2 linked regions of the Stegostoma tigrinum genome follow. The protein of the gene in region 1 purifies or fractionates together with the protein of each later gene. This does not show direct contact. Links are inferred from orthologs where the notes say so. Each region holds a gene or a part of one and is shown on either strand. Other genes may lie near its edges.

What was found.
Region 2: the proteins of naa30 (region 1) and naa38 purify together in Homo sapiens (co-immunoprecipitation; 3 studies listed by BioGRID and IntAct, with this or other methods). This does not show direct contact. The link is inferred for Stegostoma tigrinum from reciprocal best matches to the Homo sapiens genes NAA30 and NAA38.

What each region holds. Positions count from the first base shown.
Region 1 is NC_081363.1:49,431,287-49,441,569, forward strand, and holds the start of naa30 (N-alpha-acetyltransferase 30), read left to right. Parts: upstream 1-6,072; 5' UTR 6,073-6,442; coding exon 6,443-7,231; intron 7,232-10,283. UniProt on the Homo sapiens protein: Catalytic subunit of the N-terminal acetyltransferase C (NatC) complex. Catalyzes acetylation of the N-terminal methionine residues of peptides beginning with Met-Leu-Ala and Met-Leu-Gly.
Region 2 is NC_081398.1:14,295,027-14,305,711, forward strand, and holds the start of naa38 (N-alpha-acetyltransferase 38, NatC auxiliary subunit), read right to left. Parts: upstream 4,650-10,685; 5' UTR 4,636-4,649; intron 15-4,635; 5' UTR 8-14; coding exon 1-7. Other genes in the region: cytochrome b5 domain-containing protein 1, read left to right, coding at 4,724-5,153, 6,469-6,545, 8,608-8,826.

The sequences.
Region 1 (10,283 bases):
AGTGACCCTTCGTAATGGTAGGTGAGAAATGGTTGGGAAAGCGCGCTATTTATGCTGATGACTGAGACGGGAAAGGGCAGCAGGATGGTGATGGAACGAACACAATACACAGAGATGGTGCCGGGGGAGGGGGCTAAGAGAAACGATCAATGGAATCTGCCAAATCTCGCAAGGCAGATCAGAATCAAAAGTCATGAAGTCACAATTACACAGTGAGAGGCGTATCAGGAAAATATGCCAAGTCAGCACAAGAAACTATTTTTACCGCACAAAGTTCCGGTCTTACACTGAGCCAAGATTGTTTCATACCTCTCCCATGTTCATGGAAATGATTTATTTTTGTTTCTGATTTTACCGCCTCTTATTTTCATAATCCGTCAAGCACAGTCGTGGCACACGAACTAAACGCGGTTTGGTGCTCATTTAACCAAGTGTGGAGCTGGATGAACACAGCAGGCTCCACACTTTGTTATCTCGGATTCTCCAGCGTCTGCTATTCCCATTATCTTTGGTGCTCATTTAGATCGCCAAAGGAGATAATTCAGGATAAGGGACTCTTCGATTTACTGCTAAATCATTTAGGTCCATGTGTAAGAAGTGGAGAATAGATCACATTACGACTTCTATTGCCTTGTCCGAAACAATAACAGCAGGGCACAAAGAATGATTCAGACAGACCAAAAAAGGTCTGCACGCCACAATGCTACTCCTTCGGGCAACACTTCTAAGTACAACCATCATAATAGCGGCGGACAACGATCAAAATACCTGGGGTCGGAGGGTGAATTCGGTCCCAAAAATCACCTGGGAAACTTCAATCACGGGGACGACCAATCAAAGAAAAATAAAAAAAACATACAAATTGCTGGAGAAACACAGCAGAATTGGCAGCATCTGTAGAGAGAGAGCAGAGGTTATGTTTTCGAGTCCTTTAGCCCCTTTTCAGAATAAAGGTTGCCCTCGCACCTGAATAGTCGGAATCTGCAAGGAGTTGTTTCAATCTGAGGTTGATTCTCTCTTGTGCTTGCTATACGGGGACTCAATGCAGAAGTAAAGCATGAGGAGAAAATTTAGCCCTCGAGAAAATCTCAGGAGAAGCTCTCGGTAGAAAAATGATTTTTACCATTTCGAACGAAAATCGCATTGAAATAGTGCAAATGAATCCGTCTAGTTTTCATCGATCTAACTTTTCAGAAGTCAAAGAACTGCTTCCGAGAAAACAGAGAAGGATCAAAGATGCAAAGGGCAGGAGGCAGGCTATGAAGTGCCAAGTTAAAAGGTAGGTCTACAGGATCAGATTCAGCATGTCATGAAAGGTATATACCAAGCAGCCGTGAAACTCCACTGCATCCAGGATAAAATCCAAATCAATACTCAAGCAGGAGACTCTGATAGACCACTCAGTGTATGCTATCTGGGATAGTGGTAGATAAAATTATGATATAAGATGTCTAATTTACACACGAACCAAGCACAAAAGAAAACCACTTTGGCCTTTCAGCCTGCCCCACCACTCTTTCTGGCTCCCTCCCTTATTTAATAAAGGAGGGGTATATTAGCTATTTTCCAAGCTAAAGGGTCCGAATGAGTTTTGAGTAAGTAAAACTAACTATCAATATCTAACTATCAGGGGACGAACTGGGCTGGTTTTGGGATGCGGTGGGGGATGGGGAGATTTTGAAGCTGGTGAAGTCCACATTGATACCATTAGGCTGCAGGGGTCCCAAGCGGAATATGAGTTGCTGTTCCTGCAACCTTCGGGTGTCATCATTATGGCACTGCAGGAGGCCCAGGATGGACGTCGTCTAAAGATTGCGGTGGGGGAAGGGGAGAGTTTGAAGCTGGTGAAGTCCACATTGATACCATTTCGTCCCCTCCCCCCACTGCACCACACAACCAGCCCAGTTCTTCCCCTCCCCCACTGCATCCCAAAACCAGCCCAGCCTGTCTCTGCCTCCCTAACCTGTTCTTCCTCTCACCCATCCCTTCCTCCCACCCCAAGTCGCACCTCCATTTCCTACCTAACCTCATCCCACCTCCTTGACCTGTCCGTCTTCCCTGGACTGACCTATCCCCTCCCCACCTCCCCACCTATACTCTCCTCTCCACCTATCTTCTTTTCTCTCCATCTTCGGTCCGCCTCCCCCTCTCTCCCTATTTATTCCAGAACCCTCACCTCATCCCCCTCTCTGACGAAGGTTCTAGGCCCGAAACGTCAGCTTTTGTGCTCCTGAGATGCTGCTTGGCCTGCTGTGTTCATCCCGCTTCACACTTCATTATCTTGGATTTTCCAGCATCTGCCGTTCCCATTATCACTTCATCTCTATCCGGATTGCTTCTATATACTAATTTCCTGAGCTTAAGTCATCCCTCTCTTTTGTGTTAATATCATCTTTTTCAAGTTATTTCCTAACTTCCTGACCTTCCTAAATGTCATACAGCCTTCAATATTGAGGTCCCACTCCAGGTCATCCTGCAGCCACATCTCAATTATGACTGCTGGATTGTACACGTCTCAGTTTGTACTAGTTCATCTGTTTTATTGTGAATGATACATGCATTGAAATACAGTGTTTTAAGTCTTGTCCTGTTATTATCTTCAGTCTTAGCCGACAATCTGCTCTTGGATCTGCACTCTGTCCTTTCCTGTCATTGTTTGTTTATCATTTCCCACATCAATTCCTTCCTTTGTTGCCTTCCCTTTTTCCTCAATTCATAACTTCCCAAATACAACAGTTCCTGTACAGTTCAGTTGTAGATCCCTAATGGTACAGATCCCATTTTCTTCATTTGATCTACCCTTATACCAATTAATCTAAATTTTGAGTAAGATTTGTGTGTGTGAAGACCTATAATGATTAACATTTAAATATTTCTGCAGCCACAATGATCAGTATTAGAGACAGAGCACTTGGAAGCTAGTGGGGACTTGGTTCCATTGGGAGAATTATACGAGCACAGAATAAATTGTGCAGTGCATTAAACTTCAGTTAGAAGATTCTAGAAACTGGATGTTCTTTCCTTGGAAAAGCTTTTTAGTTTCAATTCAAGGTTTGGAGAAGTTTTGGCTGAAGTTGGACGTATAAGGCCGTTTCTCCTGATAAAGAAAAATAGCTTATTTCTTAATAGTTCTAAACTATCTGAATGTGAAGAGTTTATCTTTTAGGTTTCAGACCAGAAACATTAATTTAAAATCCTGAAGAGGTTATCAGAAAGTCTAAGCTAAGTTTTATGAAGAGTCAACTAAAAAGCTATCAGATTCTGAGGACAGGGAATTGAATCCACAATTTTCTTAAGCCCTACGGATGTGCCATAGAAGGGATTTCTCTTCAGTGAGAGACTGATTTATACTATCTTCATTTCTTTGCATAAATACTCCTATTTTATTGTTAAAACCAAACGTGCAGGGTTGCATGCTTGTGCTTCCATGACAGAACATCTTGGTTAAACCAAAATATGATCTTTCAAGCCAAATTTCAGTCTTGGTTCTGACTTGTGCAGTAGTAACATCAGCTGGGTTCACAGTAACATGAAGTGGAAGAGTTTATAGAAGTAGCGTGACCAAGTACAGTGCTGCTGTCCAAAAGGAATATAAATGGATAGAAGCAAAGTTAGATAAAGGAACAGATATTAAATAGCAAAGAGACATCAGGACATAAGGAGAAAGAGAAGAAATTTTACTGCAAGAAGAGTTAAAGTTGAAAGGAAGAGTAACACACTGCAGACTAACAGAATGACTGCAATGGGCACAAGAATAGAGAATACAGAATTGGGGCTAAAACAGATACAAGCACTCATGGAAGAACAGAGAGACAGCGTGAACTACACAGCAAATAGGACATAAGAGGGAAACAGGACTACTTAATAGATGAAACTCCTGAAACAGAGCGTCATGGAGTAGGGCACAAAATAGACGGTTCAAGAGCTGGCAAAATTGTAGGTAGCAGAGCAGTACATGAGCACTGATAGCTGGTCAGAAGCCCATGGCTCTAAGGCACCAAAGGTATTTCTGAAAAGCAAATTATTAGTCCGCCGGCAAATAACAAGGTTAGCATTGGAGTGGGATTGAGCTCTGGCAGTTGAGGCACAATAAACTGAGCAGAAATTACTGAACACCAAAACAATACATCATTGGATAGTTTGAGAATGGGCCAAAGTAACAATAAATGGAACAACTGAAAAATAAGAATGTCACTTCAAAAATTATTATTCATCATTTTAAATAATTTCATGATTTTCATTATCATTTTTTTTGCCTAAGATAAGCAAGTTTAGATAGTTGAGCTGCTTCAATATACCAGAATTGAAATGCTGAGCCATTCTTAACTCTCTTCATATGGGGTCAGCAGCTCAGTTCGAGCAAATTTGAAACAACATAAACACAGTACAGTTGAACCTGAGACAGTGGCCACAGAAAGCTTGCAACCAGTTACTAAGAAAGTATAAACACATAGACTGTGCTTACTTTGCAAAACACATTTGATGCCATACTTGTTGACCTACATTTTTATAAAGCAAATTATTCCCTCAGGGTGTGTTGTTTATTCTTGAGGATTGCAGCTAACAGGGGAATTATGCATTTCCTGTTAAATGTATTCTTATCATCTAAAAAAAACTTCAGAAATCTCTGAAAAATCAATTGTGGAATAACAAAAGCAGATGAAAGACAGCAATACTCTGCCCGTAACCAAGTAGTCTCCATTAGGGTTATTTCTCCTTGAAAGATATTTGAATGGTAGAGCAGGCTTGAGAGGTTGAATGGCCTTCTCCTAATTAGTGTGTTTGCTAAATCAAATTTTTCAGCCCTGAAAAAAATGTATCCCATTTGAACTTCATTGTTTTCTCCACAAATGCCAAAACAATATAACACCTCAGGCCCAGAACCATCTCTATCTCTGGCCTGTGGTGTATATATACGCACAACATTTTCTTACTGTTTCCTATAAATAAGTGCATTGTGGAAAGGTGTTTCACTGTGAAATGGCATCCTTAAATCTGCACTCATTTAAACTTTACTGGATATAGATTTTAGATTTTAATTAGGCAACGATGTTACCCAGTGGGATATGAGCATAATCCACTGAAATTCATCCTTCCAGTGTTTTAATTAAGCACTTAACACACTTATTATGAATGTTTAGTAGAGAGGGCGCCTTTGAATGAAATCCTGCAAGCTTGCGTCCCACATGTTTCAGCAACAGCGAATGTTTTGATTCCGGTGAATCGGTGTCAAAACCACTTTTTGTCAGGTCACAGTGGTCAGCCCGCATCCGCATATCCAGCACCTATCACTGTTTCACACAATTGGGCTGATACTTTCAACACCAATTGAGGATGCGACAAAAACACCTGGGGTTTATACTGAGAGATAGTAAGAACTGCCGATGAAATCCGATGTGCAAGTTGTATTAGCGTGTTTGGAAAAGGATTCGTTCGGGAGCATTTTAGGCCAGTCCCTTGTATATTTGACAGTTACCCAGCTTCAGCTACAATAGCTGTGAAAATATACACTTAAGGATGACATTTTAAAAGAGAGCAGAATGAAGAAGGGTCTCGACCCGAAACGTCAGCCTTCCTGCTCCTCTGAAGCTGCTTGGAGTGCTGTGTTCATCCAGCTCTACACCTTGTTATCGCAAATAATAAAACACGTGTTTCACTAAAATCAAATAAATTCTAATTTTGGATTTGAGGCTGACAGAAGACACAATAGCTTAACTCACAAACTGCAATATGAAGAAAGCAAAGGCTCAGTGGACACAAAATGGCACTTGCAGCTAGGGAATGATTTAAACAGTTTCCAGAGGCCAAACTCACACTAGAAACAGAAACAGAAACATAATCACTCATCAGGGAGGGAAAGATTACGGCTGCATTTAGCTCAATGATATTTACTCAGAACTACACAAACTCCTATCTTCTCCCCAAGAACACAAGGGCCATTCGCCAAAACCTCACGTCAAATCCTCCTTCCCGACGCACAATCGGCGTCGGTTAAAGGTCAACGTCGTAAAAACAACTTTCAGGGCGAGACGGGAAGCCGCATTTATGACGTAGATGGGGCGGCGGGGCCGCGCGGCAGCCTCACTTTACGGCAGTGCCTAGGTTGAGAGTGGAAACGGCCTCGAGTGGCTGGCTGTATGAGGGAGCAGGCAGTGGCCGGCTTCCTCACTTCGGCAACGAGTTGATTTCTCTCCCCCTCCCCTGCTCCCACCCTGCCTGACTGTGTGGATGTCGGGCCCTGCTTGACAGGTCCCGGTCCTGTGCAGCCTGGCCTGGTGTGGTCCGGCCGGCTGTAGGATGTGTGAGTGCTGAGGGCGGGCGGTGAGTCCCCTCCTGGTTACCCCCCCCCCCCTCCCGCCCCGTTCTCCCGGTTAGATCACTCTCTCTCTCCCCCCGCTGCTTTTGGCCCTCATGCCGACCCTGCGTTTCTCCGCTCTTTAGGATGTCTGATGTACCGCCCGGGCCTAGCGTGCTGTCCCCAGCCCCCAGTGACATCTCGCCCCTCTCCGCTACTCTCAACCACTCGGGAGCGTACGGCAAGGTCCCGGGGCAGCAGCCAGGAGGGGGCGGCGAGCAGGAGGAGGAGGAAGCGACTGCTGTGGACGGGGCTGGCCAGGAACGCGGCGGGGAAGGCGGACCACATTCGGCGAACAGTGTCGGAAACTGCCCGGAGCCTAACCGAGCCAAGAAGGGCGTCCTGCACCTTCACCACCATCATCACCACCACCACCACCACCACCACCAACAGCAGCAGCGGCTGCTCAACGGCTGTGTTATAAACCCTGAGCTCCACTACAAGGCGGAGTGCAAAGGCCGCCTATCCTGCGCTGAGGCCGCCACTGCCGTCGAGTTTCAGTCTGGACTGTCACTCTCCGAAGGAGGCAGGAGGAAAGCCGACGGCAAATATTGTGAGAGTCCCAATGTGAATCATGCGAGCCAAAGGACTGCCGAGGCGGCCGGCCCTGACACACTCAACCCCAGAGATGGACTCGACCGGATTGGTATCGGCCCAGATGACGATGAGCAATACCGCCTGGCCGCCTCGATAGCTGCTTGTAGTTTGCACCCGCAACAAGAGCCCGACTCGAACGACAGGATACGATATGTTGGCTATGAGTCAGAGTTGCAAATGCCAGATATAATGAGATTGATCACGAAAGATTTGTCTGAACCTTATTCCATATATACATATAGATATTTTATTCACAACTGGCCGCAGCTTTGTTTTCTGGTAAGTGTGGTATGTTGGTAGGGGACTATGTAGTATACGTATGTATATCGAGAATAATGCGCTTAATAGAAAAGCCTGTGAAATGTCCCGAATGTAAGACCTTATTTTTTGTAAGCACTGAAAATGAGTTGCCAAGGAAAGGTCACTTTGGCATTTTGCATGCTGATTCCCACACTTTCAGTTGCTATCAATAGTCGTCATGTTAATGAGTAGTTTTATTTTTGTAAGCATCTAGGCTTTGAGAACTTGCGTTGCAAAAGAATGAATTTGCCATGCTATTTATAGTCCTCAATGTGACAAATAACCTTGACTTTGCAGTTCTGATTCATGTGAAAGACTAGATGGAGAGTTCAAAGGCTTGTTCTAAAATCCATTGAAATTGTGGTATATTATTAAACTTAAATTTGCTATACTGACAGACTTTATTTAAGTAGCACTGTTGTTAATGCCACATCGTCTTAGGATGACTTGAATTGCTGTAGCTACTATAGATGAAACTCATAACGTAGAAATTGTTTCACCTCTCGGCCTTTCTGCTTTTACCTGAAACACCACTGTGAACAGTGGAGATGATTTGAATGTTTGTTTTTATTCGGTGCAAAATATTTATAATCTTATTAGACTTCATTGGTGACTACAGCATGGAGACTTTCTTTGAGTTTTTTTAAATTGCAAGCCGAAAATGTGGCACCTCGCTACTTAACCATACTTGTTTCTTTTTAGCATGGCATTATGATTTTCTTGAGAGTTTGATAACTCTTAAAAGCAAATAGAAACTTGCAGTTAATAACATAAATAATGACATAAGTTTTCATATTTAAGACCATTACTTAAGTAAAGATTATTGACAATGTTGATAAATCTTTGTAGAAAAGTGATCTTCTATGCCACAAAACAGAGCATTCCCTGTTTTTCTTTAGCACAACCCAAAACACTGTTTACAGATATCTTTTTGTAAGTATACACTTTTGTAGGTGTATATATTCAGTTCTTCCAGAACCAGTCCAGTGATTTTTTTTTTTAGCTCCTGAAAGTTTACTTCTAATTCTTTCTCAGCCTGGGAACTGTTAAACTCAAGACTTTCTTTCGCAGTGAGCTACATTTCTCATTTTTCCTGTTGTGCCAAGTGAGCCCATTCTTTCAATCTGTTTCGAGTTCCACATGAATTCAGCATTTTTGATCTAAGTGAGAGCCCTCACGTGTTGCTGTGTGTTGAACCTCAGATCTCACTGCCAGTAGCTGCTGTTTCTTTGCAGGATTCTGTCACACTCAAGTTATGCCGTGAGTTGCTTGAGAATATCAGGGAGATATTAGAAACTTACCCAAACAATTCCCCTTGTATTTTCTAAGAGATCATCCTCTGAAAATTTTCAAACCCCAGAATTGAACCCAGAAGGCTTACGGTGCCTGATTGAAAGAGATGCTGATCATCTTGCTCAGAGTTTCGCTGGAACACTAGTAGGCCAAAGGCAGCACTGTAAGCATGAGGGCAAAGTGGAGAATTAAAATGATATGCTATTAAAAACTCAATTATGCTTGCTTGAAGTAAAGAATTTCGCAAAGTAGTTGCTCAAAAAATGTTTGGTCTCCCCAGCACAGATGAAATTGTAATGTGAACAACAAACACCTGTTTACATATTTTCAATATACTGAATTGAAAGTTGTCACATGAATCATCCTGAACCATCAGATTTATGTCAGTAACATTTTTCCAGAGATTCAAGGCAGTTTTCAACCTTCAAAGGTAATCTCAAAACGCTATCTTTGGCACTCAGTAAATCCTAAAAATTTGTGGGCAACAAATTCAGAGGTTTATGTAAGCTTTATTGATCTGTCACAGACCTTCGCCATGAATCATGAAGCTATTTGGAAAGTCCTCCACTGACTTTGTTGTTCAACAAGTTCATTGCCTTTTGTGATTCGTCTATGACAATATGACAGTATCCATTCTTCCCAATGGATTAGTAAGTGTCCTTTTATATCCAGACAAGAGTCAATCAAGACAATGTGCCAAGTCTCTTCGCTACCTAATTCAGCTTAGTCAGGGATTCATTCACGATTAGCTTCTACAACAGGCAATGGTTAGGTTTAGACTGTCCAGGAAGATTTTTCAATCTCTCCAGGCTAAGAGCCTTTGGTAACCGCCATATTATAACCCCAACATATCCATGGTTTAGACTATACTGATGGCTACACAATTGTGGCCCACGTAGCAATGCCAGTTAGCTTTGCATTTTCTAACGTCTTCCCCATGACAGCTGTTGTTAAAGATATTATTTATGGGGCACATAGGTTCAAGGTAATCAGGTGGAATCAACATGGTTTTGTCAAAGAGAAATCATGATTATCCAACCTACAGGAGTTCCTTTAAAGAAGTGTGGTGTCGCTAAAGGTGACATGGATATATTACAAGATAATAAAATGTGAGGCTGGATGAACACAGCAGGCCAAGCAGCATCTCAGGAGCACAAAAGCTGACGTTTCGGGCCTAGACCCTTCATCAGAGAGGGGGATGGGGGGAGGGAACTGGAATAAATAGGGAGAGAGGGGGAGGCGGACCGAAGATGGAGAGTAAAGAAGATAGGTGGAGAGAGTGTAGGTGGGGAGGTAGGGAGGGGATAGGTCAGTCCAGGGAAGACGGACAGGTCAAGGAGGTGGGATGAGGTTAGTAGGTAGCTGGGGGTGCGGCTTGGGGTGGGAGGAAGGGATGGGTGAGAGGAAGAACCGGTTAGGGAGGCAGAGACAGGTTGGACTGGTTTTGGGATGCAGTGGGTGGGGGGGAAGAGCTGGGCTGGTTGTGTGGTGCAGTGGGGGGAGGGGATGAACTGGGCTGGTTGAGGGATGCAGTGGGGGAAGGGGAGATTTTGAAACTGGTGAAGTCCACATTGATACCATATGGCTGCAGGGTTCCCAGGCGGAATATGAGTTGCTGTTCCTGCAACCTTCGGGTGGCATCATTGTGGCAGTGCAGGAGGCCCATGATGGACATGTCATCAAGAGAATGGGAGGGGGAGTGGAAATGGTTTGCGACTGGGAGGTGCAGTTGTTTGTT
Region 2 (10,685 bases), on another chromosome or scaffold:
CTGCCATATCCTGCCTGAAGAAACAGCAGATAAGGTCATCGGGACCTGCAGCGTGCTGACTCTCTGCTCATCACACAAGCTCACAGTAACTCACTGGGTTACCTGAATACATTCACAATACAATAACCCAACAGTCAGCATCTCAGGAAGCCTTGCCTTCCACTCCCTTTGGCCCTTCACAGCCAAAGCTGCTAATGTGAATGCCGATGTGCACATAGTATCATCCCACACCAACCCAAAATCTGTTTCAATGTTACTGACACACGGATAAAGGCAATGACAGGTTGAACGGACATTTCTTGCAGCATTCTCCAGTACAATTGGAATGAACCAATTCACTGTTCAAGACTTGTACACGTACTCAGAAGCACAATAACATGCGTACAGTCATAAGCACATGTACACAATCATAATAATACGCACATACTACCACATCCATGCACACGCTGGTCACAAATGGGGGCACATGGATTCCCTACTCACCTTATGCCCGCAACCTCCACTGATCGCGATCAACACCCCCATCATTTTTCACCTCAATTGCCTCAGCCCTGCACATCTTCACTCTAACAGCCAGTCCTTCACGATAACCCCCTCCCATTTTCCCCACTCAGCAGTTCCCCCAACTCCTGATTCTACCGCACCAGCATTCATTCTCTTTCACCCCACTCCAAGCTGCTTCCTGATATGCAGGTTCTGCTGCTTCCTATGCCCCAGTTTCCCCCACTCCCCTGGCTTCCCCTCTATCCCCAGTTCATTCTCCCAACACATCCACCCCCAGGTTTCTCCCAACCCTCCTTCCAGGTTCTATGCTTGGCGAACACCTCCCCAAACACCAGATTCCACTGCATATCTCCCCACTCAATCCCTCCAACCTCAGTTCCTTCAGCTTTCTCAGCTATCCTCTGGATGCCCCCCCTTCCCACTATAATCCAAATCCATGTTCTCCACCCACCTATCCCATTCCTTCCTACTTTCTCGCCAGTTCACCCTCTTCAACCTCCCCACATTGCCTGGTTTGATACCCCTCCCACTTATGCCCCAATTCCCATCCCCTCTCTATTCCACTAGTTATCTCCTCCAAGCACTGTACATTCCAACCCCAATTTCCCTGTTCATCCCTCCCCTTCATTCCCCAGTTCTAACTCTCCCCACCCTACCACCCATCTCTCTTCCTTTCTCTCCCCAGGCTCCCCCAACCCTACGTCCTTGCCCCATCTCCCAGTTCCCTTTCCTCTCCGCATCCTACCCTTGTCCCCAAATCCTAAATCCCTCCTCCCACTATCCCACAGATCCCCTCCAATCCCAGGTCTCTTCCTTCCTCACCCTGTTCTCCTTCATCTCCCATGCACTCCCTCCCCTCCACTCACACCATTCTGCCAACCCACTCCCATGGTTCCTCCCACACCCCAATTCCTTCCCCCCCTCCTCCTACTCCCAGTGTCGGCTCATCCAGCCCCCTACCTTCTCCCTTGTGCCCTCTTCCTCTTCCTCTTCTTCCCCACGCCTATTCTCACCATCCCTCCTTTCACTCCATTTCCTTTTTACTTCCCACCCCTCCCTCCCTGCCTTCTCCACCATCTTCCAAGGTCCTGCCAACCCGTTCCCACCACCATCTCTCCCAGTTCCCTCCCTCTTCCTGCCCTCTCCAACTCACCCAATCCCTTGGTTTCATCCTGTCCTATTTCCTTCACCTTCTCTCACTCCTTTGCATGTCCAATCATTGCCAGGTCTGCCTCATCATACTCTGGTCCAATTTCCACCTTACCCCGTCCCATCTTCATGATCACACCCCATTACGTCCTTCTGCCCAACTCCCCCATCACATGCCAATGTGATCAATCCCCCTGCCGATCTCCCCAACACAAACCAGAAAGCCCTCCAGCCCATCTCCCCCATTCACACTCCACTACCACTCACCCCCATGCCCCAGTAATTCCATCACACCTCAGTTCCTGCCATCTTTCCATCATCTCTCTCTCCCCTCAGCTTACTGATTTGAATGAGGTCAGCCAGGTGGACCTGATAAAATAGTTCCCTGACTGGGGCTGTTAATGTTGTAGTTGGTTGGCTCGCCGAGCTGGCTCGTTGTTGTTCCGCAGACGTTTCATTACCCTGCTAGGTAATATCGTCGGTGCAGCCTCTAACGAAGCGCCATTGTGATTTCCCGCCTATTATCTAAACTCTGGAGTCTGTTGAGCTGGATTGCCTCACTTCTGGATTTTCTTCACAGTGGTGTGTCTATGGGGTCAAGCTCTATGTGTTTTTTGATGGCTTTCTTCATGGAGTACCAGGCTTCTAGGAATTTCCGTGTTTGTCCCTGCTTTGCTTGTCTCAGGATCTTGATGCTGTCCCAGTCAAATTGGTGGTTCTCCTTATTCATGCGGAGAGAGATAAGTGAGTATTGGTCATGTCCTTTTGTAGCCAATTGGTGTTCATGCACCCAAATTAATTTCCTTCCTGTTTGTCCGACGTAGTGTTTGTCACAGTCTCTGCAGGGAATCTTGTATATGACACTGGTCCTGTCCATTGTGGGTAATGGGTCTTTCGCTCGATTGAGCAATTGTCGTAGAGTTGATGTGGGTTTGTGTGCTACTCTGATGCCCAGTGGTCATTCAGTCTTGTGGTTAGTTCCGATGCGTAAGGTACCGTGACAAGTGTGTCGGAGAGTGTGGGACAAGCAGAGCAGAGACAAGCACGGGAATTCCTAGAAGCCTGGAACTCCACCAAGAAAGTCATCAACAGACACATAGAACTAGATCTCTTCTATACTCCATAGCGAAGGAAAACTCAGAAGTGAGGTAATCCACCTCAGTGGACCCGACAGTTTAAACAACAGGTGGGAAAACACAACTGTGCTTCATTGGATAATAAAATGTGAGGCTGGATGAACACAGCAGGCCAAGCAGCATCTCAGGAGCACAAAAGCTGACGTTTCGGGCCTAGACCCTTCATCAGAGATGCTGCTTGGCCTGCTGTGTTCATCCAGCCTCACATTTTATTATCTTGGAATCTCCAGCATCTGCAGTTCCCATTATCTCTGTGCTTCATTGGAAGCTGCATTTATAATATTACCCAGTAGGGTAATGAAATGTCTGTGGAAAAACAACAAACCAGCTCAGCAAGCCAACCAACCACAGCATCCACAACCCAACCTACAAATCTAATGTAAAACCTTGGCACTGTTAACCTGATCCAATCAAGAGCCTGGATGACAGACATATACAGGAGTGTGAGAGATGCCAGGCAGCAGAAAAGCAGGAAAGTTGATGTTTTGGGTCGGGACCTGGTCATTCTTGGAGCTGGCTTTGAGCACGCTGGGTCAGCGTACAGTGCTGTACACATACATATAAAAAGGGTGACTTGGTGACGGGATATCAGCCTTTATGGAGTTATTTCATTTATCACCTTTGCTGTCTCTCTCCTCTCCCCAAGACGACTCCCCCCACCCCCGCCACCCCATCTCCTTCCTGTCTCCCTGACCACCCCACCACCGTCTCCACGACACCCAACTCCCTCCGCATTTCCCTTACCCCCCCGCAAGAGTCTCTCTGCCCCCTCACCATCTCCATTCCTCCCCCACCGTCTCTCTGTACAACCCCCACCATACTCCCCACCCCATGTCCCCACTGTCTCTGTCGCCACCCACCCTCCCACCCCATCTCTGTCCCCCCCCATTCCCCCCCGCCGTCTGGCCGCCACTCGCCATTCCCGCTTCTCTGCCAAACCCCTCCTCGCCATTCCCCCTTCTATGTCTCTGTACCCCCAACCTCAGCAAACTCCCTCCAGTCTCTCTGTCACCCCCCTCACCATTCCCCCTTCTGCCATCTCTCTGGAACCGCCCCCCGCCTCGCCATTCACCCCCCTCAGTATGTCCCTGTCCCCCCCCTCATCATTTCTCTGTACCCCCCCCTCACCACTGCCCATCACCATCTCTCTGTACACCCCCCCCTCACTATTCCCCCCAATTGTCTCTCTCTGTCCCGCCCTACCCCTACTATCTCTCTAGCCCCCAACCACTCCCCCACACCGTGTCTCTGTGCCCCCTCACGGCTCCACCTCCTTGCCATTCCCCACCACCATCTCTGTCACGCCCTCACCATTCACCCCCCCCAACTGTGTCCACGTTCCCCTCTCACCATTTCTCTATTACCCCCTCACCACCGTCTCCCTGTACACCTCCTCACCATTCCCCCTCCATTGTCTCTCTGTCCCCACCCACCGGGACCATCTTTCTGCACCCGCCCAACAATTCCCCACCCCAACCATCTCTCTGCCCACCCCTCCACCTCCCTCACCATTCCCCCCACCACCCCCTCTCTATTCCCCCCCTCACCATCCCACCCTGTATCTCTGCCCCTGCCAACCATGCCCCTCCCATATCTCTGCCCCCCCCCCCAACCAGGTCCCCCCGGTATCTCTGCCCCCTCAACCATGTCCTTCCCCTCCCCCCCTCATATCCCAGCCCCCTGCAACCATGCCCCCCACCCCGGTACCCCTGCCCCCGGCAACCCATCCCCCGGTCTCTGGGCACCCCAATCACCCCCCCAGGCTCTGGGCACCACAATCACCCCCCCCCCCCCCCCCCCCCCGGCTCTGGGCACCATCCCCCAACCAACACCTCACCTCCCTCACCATTCCCGCGTCCTGTCCCTGTCCCTGTCCCTGTCCCTCCACCCCCTCAAGGCGAGGCCACGCTCAGCTCCGGCCGCCATTTTAAGGCATGTTAAAAGAAAACGATAGAAGTGCACAGATTGCCGCTTTCTCCTGCCTCAAACCGAGCCTCATGCACCGCGCAGTCCCCGCGCTGCAAAATTACTCACGAAAAGCAGCTGTGAAGGAAAAGCTGCAGCGGCGGCGTCGCATTAAAAATCCAGCGGTTTTTTTGGTGAAAAAAAACCCAGCTTTTCCGCTTCCCCCTGGGAGATGTAGTTCCGAGGACCGGAAGTTGTACCCCGAGCCACTTCCTGTTACTATCACCATGGCGACGGAGGAGGCAGCAGTAGCAGGAGGAGCGAAGCACCCCACGACCATGCTGCACTCCCGCTACTACAGCAGTCGGGAAGTGGCTGTCCATAACACCATGAATGATTTGTGGGTCTCCTATTTGGGAAAAGTCTATGACCTGACCCCTTTAGCCGAACAGTTTAAAGGTGAAGAGCTCAGAATCTCTACAGTGTGGAAGCAGGCTATTCGGCCCAACAAGTCCATACCGACCCTCCAAAAAGCATCCCACCCTGTCACTGTAATCCTGCAATACCTGTGGCTAATTCACCCAAATCTGTCCATCTCTGGACACTCTGGGAAATTTAGCACAGCCAATCCACCCTAACCATTGCATCTTTGGACAGTAGGAGGAATCCGGAGCACCCAGAGGGGACCCACAAAGACACAGAGAGAATGTGCAACCTCCACATAGACAGTCACCCGAGGGTGGAATCAAACCTGCATCCCTGGCACTGTGAAGCACCACCTTCATCACTCAGCCCGGCATCAACCTCCACAACGACAACTTGAGCCCTTCTTGTGGTCAAAGGAACAACTTTCAGGCGAGCAATTACTGAACCTATGTGGTTCTATGCCTAAACCACAAGGAAAGATTACAGCCGGTGACCAAAGCCCCGAGAGGATTAAGGAGGGAATGCCACAGTTTGGGGTCCAGTAGCTGAGGGCACAGCCTCCAGTTGTGGAGTACTGGGATTCGGGGGATGCACGAAAGGGTTGTATTGGTTGTTGGAGTGTAGAAATTTTGGACTCGAGGGGGTCACAGAGTTTGGGAGGGAGGTAGGGGCTGGAGGACTTTACAGAGATGGGAAGGGGTGAAGAGAGTGGCAAAGTTACAGAGAAGGCACGAAACCATAAAGGGATTTGAAAACAATGAGTGAGAATTTTAAAATCTGGACCAGCAGGCAGTTTAGGTTAGTGGGTGGTGGGGAAATGGGAGTTGGCCCCATCTGCCCTTGAAAAAGATCCTGTGGCTGCTATTTCAAAGCAGAGCTGTGAGGAGGGGAGGGACGGGACTCTCCCTAGAGACCTGTGGCAAACATTCATTCTCCAGCCAACATAGTTTAAAAAATAATTATCTGGCCATTATCACATTCCTGTCTGTGGAACGTTCTTGTGCACAAATGAGATGACGTGATTCTGGCATAACAACAACAATGTACTGTAAAATATTTTATTGATTGAAAATTACTTTGATCTGCCGGGGGGCTGTACGACCCTGTGACTCCAATGGTCATGAACGGCGCTATGTCAATACAAATCTTCTTTTAGTGATGACCTCGAAATTTTGCATCTTTCCTCCCTGTTGGCCCTGGTTTAATTGGCCATTCGGGGTTCAAAATTGATGGCATGGAAAGCACTTCATTTACATCTGTAGATACCTTTCAGAAGATATAGCTGGCAGACAGTATCTTTTGTGCTATATCCAGGCTGTGCTGATTCTGTATTCTCCCTCTTATCCAGGTGACATTCTACTGAAACCCATTTTAGAAGCAGCTGGACATGATATCAGCCACTGGTTTGATGAGAAGCGTAAAGATGTAAGTATGGAATCTCAGCTGCCAGGGGAAATGAAACTGAAGACAATGAGCATCAACCAAAGCATTTTAGCAACAATTTTAATAATTCACCATCTGACCAGGGACTACAGTACCCAGCATCGCCCTATCCATATTTAACCTGGCGTTTAGCATACTTGGGAAAGTACATTGATTCTCAAAATCCACTACTGCGTTGTTACAGAACTTAATGATTTAATCAAAGCATGCAAATTCCCTGGTTTATCTCTCTGATGGAATCAATCTAACACAAAATGTTGACCAGGTTCCTGTGCTTTAAAAAGAACTGTATAAAACATTGGTAAAGCTAGAGTACTGTGCGAAGCTCTGGAATTTGCTTTACAGAAGAAATATAATAGCACTGGAGAAGGTGAAGAGGAGATTTACCAGGTTGTTGCCTGCGCTGGAGAGTCTCAGTTATGAAGAGAGATTGGACACACTGGGACTATTCTGTTTTGAGCAGAGGAGATTGAGAGGGGACATGATTGAGGTGTATAAAATTATGAGGGGCGTAGATAAGGTAGACAGGAAGAAACTTTTCCCCTTGATGGAGGGATCAATGCCCAGGGAGGATTTAAGGTAAGGGCTTTGATGACATGTAAGGAGAAAGATTTTCACCCACAGAGTGGTGGGAATCTAGAACTCAGTGCTTCTAAAGGTGGTAGAGACAGAAACCATCATTACGTTGAAGAAGTATTTAGATGTGCACCTATTGGGTTGAACATTTTGGGTTGTTGTGAAGTTTGTGCATGGCATCTGACATTCCCAATGAACCCTCTCAGCGTATTAGCGCCTTCCCAACTGAATCTGCCCCATTTCGGTTGGTCGCACGCCAGGTGAAGAAAGGCTATGGTGGAGGGAATGTATAACCACTTTGGGGAGGCTTTGAGGACCACCCTAAAGCATTTCTGCTGCTCCGAATAGTGTAGTGATTTCCAGAGTCAGCTGCCAAAGATATAAATGGCATGTCCTACCTACGGGAGCTGGTTTGGACTAATTAATGCCTCAGTGTGCTGCTGGATTCCCAGTGTCACCACAGGTTTTGGAGACTCTTATGAAGGCCATGCTGGTGGTGCTTCTCCAGTCTTGTGAGGTGCTGGCTGTATGCTGTGCAAGTCGCCAAAGCATATGGGAGCCTGGAGATCATTGCTGCCCAATAAAATTTGACCTTAGTCTGGTTTGAAATTTTAGTCTTTGGATCCTCTTCTCCTCAGTCAGCTGAGGGCCGAGTTTTGGTGTTTTGGAGGCAATGAGGAATTTTCTCATATTCCTTCAATGCAAGGAAATTGTGATAATAACCTGTATGGAACACAACATCAGTCTCAACCAGATTTCAATTCAGGGAGCTGCACTTAAGAAGGATTTAAAGGCTTTAGTGAGAAAGGGCAAAAATGGTTCTAGGAATGAGGAATCTCTGTGACGAAGGGAGATTGGAAAAATATAGAGAAGAAAGGGCTAATAGAAGATTTAATCAAGAGGATAGAGAGAAACTTTTCTCATTGGAGGAGGTATCAATAACAAGAGGGTACAAGTTTCAAGTGGTTGGTGAAAGAAGCAATTGTGACAAGAGGAATACCTTTTCCACACAGTGAGTGGATAGGATTTGAATGTGCTGCCTGACAGTGGTAGAGACAATTTCAGGTGAGGTTTTCGAAAGAAATTTGAAACATTTTCTGAAAAGGAAAGATTTGGACATCTTAGGGTAAAGATAGGGGAGGGGGTCTAGCAGGATTGCTTGTGTAGAAGACCAGCACAGTACAATAAGCTGAATGGCCTTCTGCTGTCACTGTTCTGTAATCCTATAAGTCTCTGTGACCCGATCCTCCTGACAGAAATGAACCCCCCCCCCCCAACCACTACCACCACCCACCACTAAGCCACAGAGCTGGACTAGGAGCATTGAAGGACTCTGGGCACAGATATAACTTAGTCTTGTGTAAAATTGTCAGCTGGAGAGGAGGGGGAACAGGCCACAAAATAGCAAGCAGCACTATGTACCATAATAATGGAGCAATGAACAGGAATCTCTTCATTCCCAACGTAGATTCGCATCAAGATTGACCAGCTCGCCAATTGCCAGAAGTACCATACTCCTCGTGGACGCTTTGCTCACATTCCACCCCTCATGCCAATGAGTGATTGGTCTAATGCCTTTGGGACGCCATGGTGGAAGGATCCAAAGTATGAGGTTGGATATTTAACTGAAAAAACAAGAGATATCCGTATTATCAACACGCTAACAGGTCAAGAACAGGTGATTGAGGTATGCAGCTTCAATTAATCAGAAATTGCTGGAAAAACTCAGCAGGTCTAACAACATTAACTCTGCTTTCTCTCCACAGATGTTGCCAGACCAGCTGAGTTTTTTCAGCAATTTTGTCTTGTTTCTGATTTGCTACATATGCACTTCTTCATTTTTAAAAAATTAACTGGCGTTTGTTTTGAGTTAGGAAGGAATTTGATTGAGATGGAGGGGGGTTGTCACATGACAGGGTTTGCTTTCAGGAAAGCTGAAGTCACTAATGTGTTCTGACAATTGATCAATATTTCAAACCATCTGTTTTCAGGTGACACATAAAATGGTGCAGAGTCTTACATCCAAACATTCAGCAGTTAAACAAAACCCTCCAGAAACATGACTGATTGCAGAGTGAATGACTGAGAGACACCAATCATTGTACGTATAGCTCCCTGAGGGAGAAGCTCTCAGAGACACCGGTCTAGTGTACAGATTTATCCCTGCAAGAAAAAGATTGAGACTGCTAAGTAACTCAGCGAAGGAGGACTTGCTGACCCCAACAGTGTAAGAATACCAAATGGTAGAGGTAAACATAGTTAGAGACAAGAAAAACTGCAGATGCTGGAATCCAGGTAGACCAACAGGAGGCTAGAAGAATGCAGCAGGCCAGGCAGCATCTGGAGGAAAGGAGCAGTCAACGTTTCAGGTAGTACACTTCTTCAGGACTGGATGTGGGGGTGGGGGAGCTGCAGTGTTGACTCTGCTTTCCACCAGATAGAGGTAAACAGTTTTGTTGAAAACTGGCGCTGAACAGCGAGCAGATGGGTTCTGGTGATGTTGGGAGGTAGGGGGAGAGAGAGGGGAAACCTTAAGAGTAGTAGTGGGCTGCGGAAGGGGACAAAGGAGAATACTCTGAGAACAAACACATCAAACTTGGCCAAATAGAAAAGGCAGGAAAATAGGTTGAAGGGGACAACTCATTATTGAAACAGGTCATGGACTGAATGGATTGTAATATACAAAGGTTCAGAGGACCATGAGGAAATTAAAAAGACATTCCTTCCTTGACAGCAATAACCTAGGACCTGGATCTACCTCAATATCCTTTTTCTAAATTAATGATTCTTTCATAGTATCAGCTCTTGCCTCTGAGTTAGGCAGTACAGTGGTATACAGTAAGGAGAGAGTTATCCTGAGAGTCCTTAATATTGACTTCAGACTCCAGGAAGTCCCATGTTTTCAGGTCAAATATGGGTAAGAAAACCTGCAGCTGATTACCACGTATCGTCCTCCCTCAGCTGATGAGTCAGTGCCTCTGTATGTTAAACACCACTTGGAAGAACCATTGAGAGTGGCGAGGGTACAGAATGTACTCTGGGTGGGGGATTTCAATGCCCACCACAGGAGTGGCTTGGCAGCATAATTACTGGTTGAATTGGTTCGGTCCTAAGGGATATTACTGCTGGACTGTGTCCGTGGCAGGCAATGATAGAACCAACAAGAGGGAAAAACATACTTGATTTCATCACCCCCAATCTACTGTTGCATTTATGTATGCATTGATATATTTGTCAGTGACAGCACCAGTAAGAGTCACTACGGTACAGCCATGTCTTCACATTGAGAATACCTTCTAATGCATTATATGTCACTATTACTGTGCTAAATGAGTCAGACTTCAGACAGATCTAACAACTCAAACTGGGCATCTATGAGGCACTGTGATCCAGTATAAGAATTGTACGCTAATACAAGCTGCAACTTCATAGCCCAGGATATTCCCCACTCTACCATCATTGTCAAGCCAGGGGATCCACCCTGGTTCATTGAGAGGGCAGAAGGGCACATACCACAAGACATACCTAAAAATGGTGTCAATCTAG